Linked DNA regions of Caenorhabditis elegans. The protein of the gene in region 1 purifies or fractionates together with the protein of each later gene. This does not show direct contact. Each region holds a gene or a part of one and is shown on either strand. Other genes may lie near its edges.

Evidence for each region.
Region 2: the proteins of dnc-5 (region 1) and Y62E10A.6 fractionate together in Caenorhabditis elegans (co-fractionation; one large-scale study listed by BioGRID). This does not show direct contact.

What each region holds. Positions count from the first base shown.
Region 1 is NC_003279.8:2,881,688-2,885,611, reverse strand, and holds the start of dnc-5 (Dynactin subunit 5), read left to right. Parts: upstream 1-2,157; 5' UTR 2,158-2,171; coding exon 2,172-2,288; intron 2,289-3,250; coding exon 3,251-3,584; intron 3,585-3,924. Other genes in the region: arx-1 (Actin-related protein 3), read left to right, coding at 1,653-1,748.
Region 2 is NC_003282.8:13,369,941-13,373,864, forward strand, and holds the start of Y62E10A.6 (NADPH:adrenodoxin oxidoreductase, mitochondrial), read left to right. Parts: upstream 1-2,058; coding exon 2,059-2,167; intron 2,168-2,227; coding exon 2,228-2,343; intron 2,344-2,500; coding exon 2,501-2,577; intron 2,578-3,566; coding exon 3,567-3,924. Other genes in the region: rplp-2.2 (Large ribosomal subunit protein P2), read right to left, coding at 92-226, 284-340; popl-7 (Protein kish), read left to right, coding at 769-792, 852-961, 1,031-1,133; Y62E10A.24 (Ribonuclease P protein subunit p20), read left to right, coding at 1,138-1,250, 1,310-1,589.

The DNA.
Region 1 (3,924 bases):
TAATATGTTTTAAAACGTTTTTTTAATGAAAAAAAAAAATTTTTAAACCACATTTTTCCGGAAAACCTTGAAAAGTGCATCCACTGTGAGTTTTTGTCAGTTGGAAATATTTGTAAAAAATATATCTAAAAAAAGAATATTGAAGAAATACTGGAAAAGTTGAGTAAAAATCGATTTTTCTGAATAAAAAACTTTTTTTTTCACAAAAAACAGCCTTATCAAATGGGAATAATATGCTTTAAAACAGTTTTTAATGAAAAAAACCATTTTTTCCGGTAAACTTTGAAAAGTTGATTAAAAATTAATAAATTGAGCATAAATTTTTAAAAAAAATGAGCATAAATTTTGAAAATCTCAAAAAATTGCTATTTTTTCCGAGAAAATGCATTTTTGACCGAAATTTTGGTACTTTTTTTGCAAAAAATATCAATTCTTTCGTTGAAAATAATTTATTCGAAAATTTGAATGAAAATTAAACTTTTTCACTAAAAAAAACTATATTTTTTGAATTTCGTAAATTTTTTAAAAAAATCGATTTTATTATTTTTTACTAACCAACTAATTTTTCCAACAAAAAAAATTTAATTTTCGATTTTTTCTGTAAAATTCCCAAAAATAATTGATTTTTTTTGAGAAAAATTTCAAAAATTCGGATTTTTATTCGAAAAATTAAAAAAAAAAGTTTTATTCAGAGCTTCGAATGAAATTTCTGAAATTTGTATTCCAGTTACCTCAACAAATTTTTAAAAATTTATATTTTTAATTTTTTGGCAATTTTTCAAAACTTTTTAAAACTCAAAAATATCCAAATTTTCAGTCGGAAAAAAATTGAAAATTTTATTTTTTTTTTGGAAATTTTTGAATTTTTATTCAGAATAAAGTCATAAATTCCCCCGAAATTTGAAAGTGAAAAAAATCAAAAAAAAAAAAATTAGATTTCGAATTTAAGAAATAAAAAAATTTCACTGAAAAACTATGGTTTTTGAAATAAATAAAGCACTATTTCTGAACAAGTTTTGAAAATTCAAAAAAAAATCGATTTTTACTAGCCAACTAATTTTTCCAAAAAAAAAATCTAATTTTTGATTTTTTTTTCTTTGAAATTCCCAAAAAAAAGTCAATTTTAAGTTTTATCCGGAAATTATATTTTTAATTTGTTTTTCTTCAAATTTGCAAAACTTTTTGAAACTCAAAAAATTGAAAATTGTTTTTTTTTTTGGAAACTTTTTAAAAAATTTTTATTCAGAATAAATTAAATTCTCCCGAAATTTAGTGAAAAAAAACTGTAGATTTCGAATTTAAATTAAATTTTAAAAAAATCGGTAGAATTCGAAAAAAAACAAATGTTTCCGATTTTTTCCAAAAAAAAATCTAATATTTGATTTTTTTTTTTGAAATTCCCAAAAAAGTCAATTTTAAGTTTTTGAGAAAAAATTGAAAAAAAATTTTATTCGGAAATTATATTTTTAATTTTTTTTTGGCAATTTTTCGAAACTTTTTGAAACACAAAAATAGCCAAGATTTCAGTCGGAAAAAATTGAAAAATGAAATTTTTTTTGGAAACTTTTTTAAATTTTAATTTAGAATCAATTAAATTCCCCCAAAATTTAGTGAAAAAATCACCAAAAAAACTATCAATTCCAAATTTTCAGTCGGAATTCTACCAAGTTTCACACACAAAGGCCGAATACATGGAGAGAGGACCATCGATTTGTCGTTACAATCCAGTTTTCGGAGCTCTTACTTAATTTTTTTTCTCCATTTTTTTGTATTTTTTCCCTATATATTTTCTCCAATTTTAATCCCTTCTCCACGTTTTTTTCTCTCTAATTCCCGAAATTTTTGAACACACATTTCACTTTTTTTCATCTTATTCTGGGCGATTCGTGTATGTACTTATTATTTTTATTTCCAAAAATTACCAATTTTTTAAAACCTTTTGAACGAAAAAATTCTCGAAGAAATTTGATTCCTGCGCCCCCAATTTTTTTTCTTAAATTGTGTTTTTTTGCATGACTATTGCTTTAATTTATTCCCCCGTTATATATAAATTCCCTTATTTTTGTAGTCTTTTTGGAGAAAAATTCCGCTCGATTTGAAAAAGTAGAACTCTTTTGTGATATTTTTGAATTTAAAAAAAAACTAGAAAAATTTCAGACGCTGATTTTCAGATGGATCTTCCAATTGTCTACTACGATGAGACGGAATGGGCGAAGACGCATACGGGAAATAAAGTGAATAAGAAGCATGCAATTGCTGGAACACAGAATATTTTAATTGCTGGAAAAGTGAGAATTTTTGGAAATTTTTAGAAAAAATTCAGTGTTTTCCAAGTATTTTGAAAAAAAAAAGAAATTAAAAAAATAGCGCAATATAATTTTTCTAGATTTTTGGAATAAGCTATACAAATTTTTTGGCAAATTCGGCAATTTGCCGGAATTTAAAATTTCTGGCATATTTGCCAAACCGGCAATTTGGAAAAAATTTAAATTTTCGGCAAATCGGCAAATTGGCAATTTACCAAAACTTAAAATTACCAACAGTTTGGCGAAAATTAAAATTTCTTGAAAATTCGGTAAACCGGCTGAAGATGAAAATTCCGGCAAATCAGTAATTTTCCGAAAATGAAAATTTCCGGCAAATCGGCAAGTGGGCCGGAATTGAGCATTTTAGGAATATTCGGCAAACCGGCAAATATGCCAAATATTCAAACTTCCGGCACACTGGCAATTTGCCAAAAATTAAAATTTCCGTAAATTTGCGAGAAAAAAAAATTTCCGGCAATTTTCCAAAAATTAAAATTTCCGACAGACCGGCAATTTTCCGAAAATGAAAATTTCCGGCAAACTTGACAAACCGGCAATTTGCCGGAATTTAAAAATTCCGGCAAATAGGCAATTTGACAAAAATTACAATTTTCGGCAAATCGGCAATTTTCCAAAAATGAAAGTATTCGGCAAACCGGCAATTTTCGAAAAATTGAAATTTTCCGGCAAATAAGCAATTTGTCAAAAATTGAAATTTTCGGCAAACGACAAACCGGCAATTTGTAAAAATTTAAAATTTCCGGCAAACCGGCAATTTCCCAAAAATTCTAATTTTTGGCAAATTCGGTAAACTGTCAAGTTGCCAAAATCTAAAATTTCCGGCAAATTCGGCAAACCGGCAATTTTGGTACACCGGCAATCTGCCAAAAATAAATAGCCGCCCACCCCTGATTTGAAACATCAAAAAAAGTGAAATTTTGCAGACAATAATCGAGGAAGGAGTGACAATTCGCGGTGATCTGGCGACAGTTAAAATTGGAAAATATTGTGTTCTAAAGTCTCGATGTAACATCCGTCCATGCATGAAAATATTCAGCAAAAAACCAACAATGTGCAACGTTATGATTGGTGATTATGTATTTATTGAAGAAGAATGTGTCGTCAATGCCGCTCAAATCTACGCATTTGTACATCTTGGAGCTCGTGCGGTGCTCGGAAATGGTTGTGTGATTCGAGAATGTTCGAGGGTTCTTCCGGATACTGTAGTTCCAGCGGACGCACTTTTTCCACCGTACTCAACGATCGGCGGGAATCCTGGTCAGTATGCCGTCGAAAAAGCGAAAATTTGAAATTTTCCTAATTTTTTTGAGAGCCGGAAAATCGAAAAACTGGAAAAAAAACGTTTTTAAAAGCACAAAAATTGCCTGTGATGATTGAAAAATTGGAATTTTGACGGAAAATCGAAAATTCCTAATTTTTCGAACTTTTTAAGTAGGAAAAATCGAAAAAACTGGAAAAATTGAGAAATTTCTTTCAAAAAACATTTTTAAAAAAACTGAAATTATTGAAAAATTGGAATTTTGGCGAAAAATCGAAAATTATCGATTTTTCTTATTTTTCTTATTTTTCTGAGCTCCCTAATTTTCAAAAAATGGTA
Region 2 (3,924 bases), on another chromosome or scaffold:
GTTAAGCATCGCTGAATTTTACCAGTGCAGTCAACTTTTTTAGGACTTCATAACATTGTTCGAGGAATTTCCATAAAGGTTGGATACGTACCGAAACGAGTCCAGCGGATCCCTCAGCGATGAGCTCTTCGACTGTCTTTCCTGCAAGTCTGGAGACAACGAGCTTGGCGGTCTCAGCATCAGCATCAACTCCGACAGCGCTCAAGATGTTCTTGAGGTCGTCAACCTGAAAGAACACAATTGAAATAAATGTTAAAATGTTTCAATTCCTTTTAAGAATTACCTTTGGGTTGGCATTTCCTCCGAGGACGGCGAGCAAGTAAGCCGAAACGTAACGCATATTACCTGCAAAACCATAACTTTAATTTTAAATATTTCCAGGAAAATCTGGCGATAAAAATCGAAAATTGAGTATTTGCAGATAGTTTCAGCATCATGATATGTCAAGTGAAGCGCAAATTTTTTCTGAATCGATTCAAGATAATTTTGTGAAGAAAAACGCGGAAATCGATGAGAAAAATCATAGGAAAAATCGCAAAAAAAGAAAAAATTCACTTGACCGAGAGGCTGGCCTACTGTCGAGGCGCGCGTGGCGAGACCCACTCGTCGCGAAATGTCGTGTCCCTTTAAACAGCCAACATTTGCAATGCATTGAAATTGCAGATTTTATATTATTTTCGAGGTTTTAAACTACTTTTCTTTAATTTTTCCGTATTAAACTGAGTCTGAATCAATATTTAGTGATAAATTTCAGCAAAGGCACCTTGTTTGGTTGCAGAAACAGCAAAACTGGTGAGTTTTCTTGCTGATAAATATTTCAAAAATGAAAATTCATTTCATTGTTTTTTCAGTCGGCAATCTTCAACTTCCAAAGTCTTATCTCAGTTATCCTTCTTCTCATTTGCACGTGTGCCTACATCAGAGCCTTTGCACCGAGAATAATCGATAGAAACAAGGAAGGGTGAGTGTTTTTTTTTTGTTGAAGACGCAGACTTTTCGTGGAGAAATCGAACATTCAAAGCATTTTCAGTCTCCTCGGCGTTTTCTGGAAGTGTGCTCGAATCGGTGAACGTCTCAGTCCGTGGGTATCGATCAGTTGCTTTTGCATGGCATTTGTTGTGCTGTTCCTTTAAAATAATGGCTATCCGCATGACTCCATCATCGAAACGATTCGATGAAAAAACAAACGAAATGAGGCGCCGTCCGCCTGTAAAACCAAGCAGTAATCCTAATCATATTTATATCACAAGGTGATTAATTTTTATCAATTTAGTTGTACAATTTCTCATTAAATAGTGTTTTTTTGCAGAAAAACCAACGTCGAATCACAATCAAAATCCACCGAGGAGATGTTGAATAACGCATTCGATGAAGTTTTCATCCATGGAATGGGAGCATCTATCAATAAAGCTCTAGTTTTTGCGATGGAAGTTGAGAGAAGATTCGGTGGAAGTGTCAAGTCTGATATTCAAACGTCTACTGTACAATGTACAGATGATATTGTATCACTTCTGGACCTTGATCAAAGCGAGACACGTCATCGTTCTGTTTCTGCCGTGCATGTTCATCTTTATCGTGTTGCCTCGTAAATCTTCATTCCACTGAATATATATTACACATAATTTTGTCAATGGGTCTTATTTTTTTGCCTACATGAATTAATTATTTTTTCCTTTGATTTTTTAGTTGTTCTTGGTTACTCTTTCCTATTATTTTCTACATTTTCAATCACCGAGTCGCCAAATTTTTCGATTTTTGCTCAAAAATTGCGGAATATTACGCGGAATCCGGTCTCGACACGACATTTTTTTTGTCAAATGTGAAAAGGTGTGCGCCTTCAAAAAGTACTGTAGGTTCAAACTTTCGTTGCTACGGAAAAATTTATTTATTTAATTATTTAAAAAAAAAACTAAAATTTTTAACAAAATCAGCATCAAAATTTTTAAAAATACAGTAATCTTCAAAGGCGCGCACCTGTTTACATTTATTAAAAATTTGTCGTGTCGAGACCTGATACAGTAAGCGAAATTTCGCGTCTGAATAATAAATTAATTTAAGATGTTCGGTAAAACATTACTACGAAGGATAGCCTGCTCGAATCTCAATTTAAAATCAAGAAAACTGTCCGGAAAGCCACGTTTAGCAATTGTGGGCTCCGGTCCCGCAGGTAATAATAGAACAATTTTCTGGAAATTTCGTAAACTATTTCCAAAAAAATTAAATTTAGGAATGTTCGCGTGCAACGGATTGCTTAGAAAAAGTAATTTCTCGGTAGATGTATTCGAAAATTCTCCAGTTCCATTTGGATTAGTTCGGTATGGTGTGGCTCCAGATCATCAGGAAGTGAGATTTATTCGAGAAAAAATTAAGAAAATCGGTTCTTTTGGCCACAATATTCAATTAAAAACGGAAAAATCAGGAAAAAATCTTCTCCGAATTGCATATTGGTGCCAAAATACCATTTTAACTAAAAATTATTGTGAAAATTTCAAAATTTCAGGTAAAAAACGTGATAAACACATTTGATGCAATGTTCGAAAAGAATCGTGAACGGCTGAAACTATTCTGCAATGTGAAGTAATTATTTAATTTCTCAATTATTGGAGGACTGTGTCGAGTTACGCAGCTCGTGTACTCCACGAGGAGAAGAATTTTACAGTTTTTATTTGCGAAATTCTTATAGAAAGTTTATTTTTAAAAAGTCAAACAAAAGTCAAAAAATTAAAGGAAAATTTTAAAGCCAAATTTATTAGATTTTTAAAATCTTATTCATATTTTTCAGTTCTTGCAATTAATCCAGATAAAAAACAATTAAATCCCACTTAAAATTGCATGTTTTCCTCAAATTTAGAAGCATGAAGGTTCGAAAATCTTTTTTTTTTTTTTTGAAAAAATCTCACAAAAAACCAAAATTTCCATATGAAAAGTTGGGAAAAATGTTTAAAAATCGACCTTTAGTTTCCAAAACTTGAAAATTCTTTAAAAAATTCAGTCTTCTCCTCGAGGAGTACACGAGCCGCGTAAATCGACACGTGGGGGGTTGTCAAGAGTGTCGGTTTTCGATTGTTTCAACAACAAACAACGGAAAATGCTCGATTTTTGAAAAATTGATTTTTTCGATTTTTCGATATTTCGAAAAAAAAATTTCGATTTTTAAAAACGTACACTACTTGTTAGCTTAAAACTTTGGACATTTTTCTTCTTTTTAGAGTAAATTTTAATATTTTTTCTCATCAATTTAAACGAAATTAGATTTTTAAAAAAATCATATTTTATGTTCAATTTTTCTAATTTTCTCAGAAAATTGTTCGTTTTTCGATTTTTAAAAATTCGAAATATCGAAAAAATATTTTTGAGACCCCAGGAAAACAGTATTCACATAAACTTGTAAAACTTTTTGTAAATCCTGTTTCTTGGGGTCTCAATTTTTCGATTTTCCCTCAAAAACTTCAAAAAATCGAAAAACGACACTCTTGGTGGTCGTGGAAGAGGTTTTCCACGGCCATTCTTGCATTTTCAAATACGAAAAATCATGCAATTTTTCAAATTTCATACTTTTTTTTCAGCATCGGACGAGACATTACATTTGATGAGTTAACACGTGGCTATGATGCAGTCCTTCTGGCATATGGATCATATAAAACACGAACTTTAGATATTCCTGGAAGTGATGCCTCAAATGTAATATCTGGATCAGAATTTGTTGGATGGTATAATGGAGTTCCAAATGCATCAACACCAGATCTTACAACATCAAATGTTGTAATTGTTGGAAATGGAAATGTTGCTCTTGATTGTGCACGTGTACTTTCAACAGCTTCTTCTGGATTATTAAGGATCAGTGATATTCCTGGAGATCGATTGAATGTTCTTGAAGGAGCTAATGTTAAAGATATCAAGATTTTAGGACGAAGGGGACCAGAA